2 linked regions of the Schizosaccharomyces pombe genome follow. The gene in region 2 interacts genetically with the main gene of each other region. Each region holds a gene or a part of one and is shown on either strand. Other genes may lie near its edges.

Region 1 (3,596 bases), 1.6 Mb from region 2:
CTGAATTAGATCCTACAACACGCGTGTAACCGGGTTTGTTTAAAGTTCTGCGGCGGGGTGGAGCCTTGAACGATTCGATTGATAAGCAAAACTTACCTGCAGTAGTAAAGAAAGGCAATTAATATAAAAACTTACAACTCTAGAATAAAAAGGTGATAACCTTGAATTATTAAATTCGCACGAACAATAAAATATTGAAACTCAAACGAGGATAGACGGAATCGTGGGATAGTTTATGGTTGCGGTATTATCGAAAGATGTCTTTCTGATCATCATCAGTGCCGATACATACATACATCACACGTGTCGAAAAATCGAGTAATAGTGAGTGGTCTTTAACAAATAGCAAAAGAGCATTAAATAATAACTCCCAAGAATATAGGGCGAAAGCGATTTGTAAGAGAGAACATCCGTAGAAATATCGTTTTGTTCAGTTAGCTATAAACGACACATTACTAAATCGAATGGTTGAGATACAGAAAATGGATGTTTTTTACATTAAGCATCTCAATTAGGTGACGGATTACGCGAAAATACATTCCTAAGACTTCTACTTTAAAAGAGAAATAATTGAATATTCATTCTATGGTATAAACAATCAACTAGCGAAACGTGCATTACTTGGCCAAGCAATGCAATGCATGGGCGTAAACAAAAAAAGCCAGTTGGTGATTCAACTCAAAATTGTGCAATCATTTGCACTGTTTCAATAGATACTATTCGCAAAGTCTTACTTGCGGAAAACAGTCTTGAAGAAAGTCTCACCTTGAATTCGTGCAATTTCTAGTTCATCATCGGATACATTACGAGAACCGTCGGCTCCAGCATAGGAACCAGCGCCCCAGCTGGAGCCGCCATGAATGGACTCAACGTTAGCCATGAGTGAAAATGTATTCTTATAGCCAAGAGGTACAAAAATCATTCCATGATGAACAAAGCTGGTCATGGCAGTAAGAGCAGTGCTTTCTTGACCACCGCCCAAGGTACCGGTGGAAAAGAACTGACCAAAGTACTTTCCATGCAAAGCACCTTGCACCCATAAACCACCAGTGGAGTCCCAAAAAGTACGGAACTGAGCAGGAGGAGTGCCGTAGCGTGTAGGATAACCGAAGAGGAAGGCATCATACTGCGTTAAGACATCGAGTGTAACAACAGGGTAATTGGGTTTGGGTGCAGCATGCATCTTCTCCAAGATTTCAGGACTCAATGTCTCGGGGAACTGATAAATGACAGCTTTTCCACCAGCTTTCTCAATGCCAGCCTTTTCGGCCTCAGCCAGTTTGACGACATGGCCATAAGTGGAATAAATCACAATAGCGACGGTGTTTGCGGTAGACATACTGGGTTTAATAAAACGCTGGAGTAATAAAATAACGAAATCGAAGCACGACAGTGAAGAATGAAGCTGTGATTGAATTTCTTTGGAACGTTTAAAAATATAGGGAATTTTACGTCCTTATATAGATTTTTTGAAAGCCTCCGATGTGTTTTTTTTTATTTCCTGTTTTTTTGGGACCAGCGGTTGATTACCAAGATTACGTAAACTACCTTTGGTTCATCCTAGGATTGTGAAAATTGAACCATTTCTGACTAATCCTATTCAAACAATGATTCTATTATTATTTTATTTCTTTCTCTCTCATTCATGCTCACTTTAGATCAAACAAACCGATTTTGTGCTTGAAATACTTTCATTCCACAGGTGTTGGCATTTGTTATTACCTGTCCCATTTTCTGTAAACTGAGGTTACATACTTTGGCTCGCTTGATGAGTTTTTGGTGTTGACCTTTTGTATCGCTATTTTCATCTTTGCTTTATCGATGTAGCTGCGCCACTGTTGGCCTAAGTGGGGGACTTTGGGTTTCTCTATAGCTTTCCTACTAACTTAGTACTGGGAAAATAACATGGTTACGGTCACCTCTAATTTAACACAACCCAATGGAAAACATCGGTAAATCGATAAAACGTACGCTATTTTAAGTGCAAAATGCATTGATGGTCAGCCAGTCCATCATCATCCTTGGAAAGTTTTTGTGTATGCAAGGAATTGGTCAGCACTGAAAACAAAAGAAAACGGTTATAGAATGAAGTGTTAAACCTCTTCCCTTTCTCATCATAGTATCAATTTTAAATCAATCAATTTCATATATTCATATGTAAAACATCATACAGGATAATATTCTTGAGAAATTTGTAGGTGCTAAAAGACAATAGCAAATAAATCGCATAATCAAAACAGAGCGATTTCTCAAGAATGATTAAAAAAGAAATAATAATTAAAAGTAAAAAACCAAATAAAAAGATGAACGAGTTGTAATAAACTAAGCAAATAAATTAACTAATTAAATAAATAATTAATTAATTAAATAAGCAATAAAAAAAAACCCCAGGAAAATAAAACACAATGATATTATACAATGCGTTTAGGATCACGTCTTAATACAATAAAATTCGATTCTTAAAAAAAAAAAAAAAAATTTCAATGGATTATTAATGTTTATTGCAAAATCTTTAATAGGAAGATTATAGCAATTCAATCGATGTTCAATACAAAACTGAATACGGCTTGCGTTTGAAGATTGTATAAATTTCCGATATTTAATTATTTATGCAGTTTAAAGCTCGCATTCTCTTTCGAGTTGACACTGGCAATTTCATTATTTAACCTTTTCAACCCTAACTGAATATGATATTCTTTCCAATTTAAAGCTATTTTATTTATAACCAATTTTCAAAAAATAAATAAATAAATAACTAAAGTCAATTCACTAGCCCGCTTAGTGCACCTCTCAAGTTGAACAAAGAATAAGAAAAATAGTACTTGCCATTTAGTAATAATAAGTTGGCATAGACGAGACAACGTAGTAATTGTTGAAGGAATAAGGAACTTTTAGGTTTTTAGATGACGGTTCTACAGGAACGAAAAACTTTCTACCATGTTCATTAGACCATCGCCTTAAGAAATGGGGAAGTGAACAAATGAAGGACCGATTATGAGTAGCAAGCTGAAGTATATCTGAAACTAGATATAAAGGTGTGGGAAACACATATTTGACGGTCTCATTTTGAAACACGTGCCCAATGTTAGAAGACATTTTTTTTGTAGAAAAATCATTTTCCATACTTAAAACAGACGGTGCATTGATTCCAGGCAAGGATTTGTCAACGTGACACACGTCCATCAAAAGCAGACTGTGGTGCGGAAACTGTTTTGACAATCGTTCAAAAAATCTAATGGCTTTCGTAGGATAGTATGTGAGTTTTTGCGTGCTAAAAAAGGACCAAAATACTTGTTTAACACCGGAAAAGTACCGTTTAGCCCTGCTGTCGCTAAACCCTTGCTGAACATTAATCCTAGCTTGTTGAAATGCTAAATGGTAATTCAAAGAGCTAACTTTTTGGTGAGTATTTAGAGTGAAGAATTCGTTTAAAAAGTGCTCTGGACCAAGCCAGCACCGTTCCATCATCATGGCGCCGTTACTCTGACGAAATAAATCATGACCGAAGGAGCTAATTACCTGTAATGCCAATACAAAGCAAGGATTTGTATCAGTATGGTTCCACGTTAATGGATCACTAACATATATATCAATAT
Region 2 (3,624 bases):
TAAAAACATTCCTTCCCCGAGTGGTGTAATCCCTGCTTACAAGAGTGCTTTAAACGTGGCAGCCGAAACTTACTTTTCTTTTCTGGCAAGCGTTAACTCCTTTCAAGAATTGGACCAAGAATGGAGTAGACTCGAAAAGTTGGGATTTGAATACGATGACTCTTTACAAAACAAGCGAATTATTTGGCTGTTATATGACGACCGGCTTGATGCAGCTATCAAAAGAGTATATAATATATTTTTGTCTTCAAAGAGAATTGAGGAACTAATACCAGATGCATCTAGTCAAAATAGCATAATATCTTTCTTTTTATCTCCTGATTCTCCGTTATACTTTAGCACCCTGAAAGCATTGAGAGATAAGTTAGATATGGCGGTTGAAGACGACTTTGTGCGAATTAGTCAAGGTATTCTTGTTCCAACTGTAAAATACCTTCAAACCATAAGACGGGACAACGAAATATTATTTAATTTATTAGCCAAGGTCTAATATTTCAATTGTGAACTCAGCCGTCTCGCCGTATGCTGCCTTTGTCAAAAAATTGGACTTGTAAACTTAGCTCTGGGTGTTTTATTCCAAAGAGATAAAGATTACTGAATTTTAATTTCCAAAATCGTCAACTAGTTCTAATGGTTGAGTACGGATATCATTTAATAAATCTAATTATTCTTTAGTATCATACAAAATAGTCACTGGACCATTATTCACGAGCTGGACATTCATCATTGCCCCAAAAACACTATACATGGGTTAAATAGAGAATCTTAGTTATGATGATGATGCTTACCCCTCTAAAATCATAGTTAGTAAATTAAAACTCAAAATAAAGTACATTGGTTAAATGCAGACTGAGTTCACTGCTACTTACTCTTTATCTTGTCGCTTCCGAGGCTTTCTCCTAATGTTTTAACAACTTGTTCATACAATTCGATGGCTTCAGGACCCTTCATGCTTCTGTGAAAATCAGGTTTGGCACCTTTGTTAACACGAGCATGAAGAGTGAATTGGGATACTAATTATGTTAAAGAGGAGGCTCAATATTTATGATATTATCAAAAAAAGATGCTTACCGCAAAGGATTTCTCCTTGTATATCGGCAATCGTGCTCTTCCAGGGTTGTTCGGCATTGTCGAAAAGTTTCAATTTCAAAATCTTGTTTGACAGTTTCGTAACATCTTCGGGTGTGTCATCTGTTTTTTATTAGAGAAAGGGTTACAACGGACAACTTGAAGACAAGCCAAAAACGAGTTATTAATCATTCGAAGAAATTGCTTGCACGATTGATTTTTAAATATGCTCACCTGAACCTACTCCCAAAAGTATACAGTAACTGGGCGGATTAGAAGTCAACGAATTACGGGTTACAATTGTTGTCTTACCCTTGTTGAATGGCAGAAACAATTTTGTCATCAACTATAAACTCGTATTAGTAAATAAGTTCATAAACATTGAGTTTATTAATAATTTATTTTCTTATTACCGATTATAAAATCCGTCCAAACTTAGTATATATTGATTAATACTTACCAGAAACAGAAGCATTTAAAACTCGCTGAATTACTGCCTTCATGTTTTCTACTGTTCAAAAAAAAAAAAGGTAACGAAGGATGGACAGAACCGAAGACTATTAATAATAACAACAATAATATATACTACGACAACAAAACTGCAGAAGTAGTTTTAATAGTAGTAAAGCAAAAAATTCTATATAGCAGGTAGTGTGTTTGGTAAAGGGTATATTATACTGTTATCAAATAGAAAATTTATGGCATATAATAATTGAGTCGGCGATCTTAGATAAAAAGGAAAATACAGCTACGTTATGCGGTAAAAAGTCATGGCTGACTCCGGGATGAATATGAAATATACTCAAAAATAAGCGATTCATGGAAAAATTGTTAAAAGTTAATGTTTTCAACCGCCATGTAGATTTTGTCATTTGTTTAAATTATATACACTGGTCTAATTTACTATTTAAAATACTTAGTACATGCGCAACTTAATGTAAAGCAAGCATACGGAATAGTACGGGAAAGGGTATCGGGTAGGAAATGGTGATTGTGAGCCGATGTATCCCAAAACTAGAACTAAAGGGTATCCGAAGCGTAAAAAGTTCCACGGCCTCAAAATCCCATATAAACTTACATTCTACACTTACTTAACCCAGACTAAAAAAATTAAAAAAAGAAAACATGGGAGAGGAAGAAAACTTACACAAGTGAAACGAGTAAACTGAAATAGTAAAAGCCATTTATTTCGCAAAACTTGAATTGCTGAATCTAATAGGTATAATCCGTACCATCGGAATCAACTTAAAAGATTGAGCAATGTACAGCAAATTTATGTGTATATATGTGCGCATATGGCTGCATGAATAGTTTAGAAACAACATGCGCAAAGAAAGCACATAGCAAAGAGGAAAAGGTATAAAGACTTGAAAAAACAGCATGTTATGCTAGTCAAATCATTACAAACAAAATCAAAGAAAACATAACGCAAACACTTCAGTGGCATAGTCGATCACACAATAATATCCAAAGTGATATAATGGAAAGCAATTAAATACGAAAAAAAAAATCCTTAAATACAAAGATGGAGATTTTTTAAAATTAAGACTACCCAAACCAACTTATGGAAACTAATGAGTGATTTGAAAAGAAAAAGACTGGAATACAAAACAGCAAAATAATGAACGATCGATTGTTAGATCAACAATTCGGCTTTATTGTCGAATAATTAAACATCAATAATCCAATTTCAAACAAATAGCCCAGCAACACTCATTCACTCACTCAAATCATCATCATCATCATCATCATCGACACCGTCATGTCGCTAAAAGGTGAATTTTTCAACATACAAAAATAAAAGACGGAAATCAAACATATGCCCAATGCTTCCAGGTAAACCCTAGTGGAACAGTTTGCCAAAAGACTTTTTCATACGTTTGAACCAAGACTTCTTGGGAGCTGCTTCACCATCAGTGGCGGTTTGTGCCTTTCCATCAGCCGTCTCATTCTCAGCTGTCGCAGTGGCACCAGCAGCAGGAGCTGGCTTGGTAGTGCCGGCAGCATGTTCCTCAGTAGCAGAAACAGGAGTAGGTTTGGTGGTGGCAGAACCAGGAGTAGGTTTGGTGGTGGCAGAACCAGGAGAAGGTATGGTGGTAGCAGAACCAGAACCAGCAGCATGTTTAGACTCGACGGTATCAGCAGAAGTCGGGATAGGAGCAGCAGCTTCAATAGCGGACTTCTTTCCTCCTGGTACAGCAGCCGACGTAGTACCGGGACTGGAGGGAGCAGATGCTTGTTTTGAAGGTCTACGTGCATGCTTGGAGGACTGGGCTGATTTGGCAGGCGTGGAAGGAGTCGTTGGCTCTTGTCCAGTAGAAGAGGGTTTCCTGGCAACCTTATGTTTCTCGGCGGACGCCTTGTCATGTTTTGACACCCTTTTGGAAGCAGTGGTGGTTTCCTTGGAGAAATCATGAGCAGTCTCGGTAGGGGCAGTGACAGCTTCTTGCACTGGGTGTTCTGCAGTGGTACCTCCAACGGCCACTGGGTTTTCAGACTCGGTGGGAATGGTCGAGGGGACATTTACCTCGTTCTTGACAGTGGAAGAGACACCCT

Evidence for each region.
Region 1: mutations in dtd1 (region 2) and obr1 together harm fitness more than expected from each alone (negative genetic interaction), as found in Schizosaccharomyces pombe (one large-scale study listed by BioGRID).

What each region holds. Positions count from the first base shown.
Region 1 is NC_003424.3:2,093,553-2,097,148, forward strand, and holds obr1 (NAD(P)H dehydrogenase (quinone)), read right to left. Parts: upstream 1,433-3,596; 5' UTR 1,340-1,432; coding exon 731-1,339; 3' UTR 558-730; downstream 1-557. Other genes in the region: SPOM_SPAC25A8.03C (uncharacterized protein), read right to left, coding at 2,830-3,596. UniProt on the Schizosaccharomyces pombe protein: Unknown. Target of pap1 transcription factor. Confers brefeldin A resistance in S.pombe.
Region 2 is NC_003424.3:3,647,506-3,651,129, reverse strand, and holds dtd1 (D-Tyr-tRNA deacylase), read right to left. Parts: upstream 1,738-3,624; 5' UTR 1,572-1,737; coding exon 1,529-1,571; exon of another isoform or gene 1,415-1,528; coding exon 1,381-1,414; exon of another isoform or gene 1,332-1,380; coding exon 1,303-1,331; exon of another isoform or gene 1,192-1,302; coding exon 1,072-1,191; exon of another isoform or gene 1,014-1,071; coding exon 870-1,013; exon of another isoform or gene 793-869; coding exon 789-792; exon of another isoform or gene 741-788; coding exon 665-740; 3' UTR 501-664; downstream 1-500. Other genes in the region: translation regulator Ppr4, read left to right, coding at 1-490; SPOM_SPAC8C9.04 (uncharacterized protein), read right to left, coding at 2,912-3,624. UniProt on the Schizosaccharomyces pombe protein: An aminoacyl-tRNA editing enzyme that deacylates mischarged D-aminoacyl-tRNAs. Also deacylates mischarged glycyl-tRNA(Ala), protecting cells against glycine mischarging by AlaRS.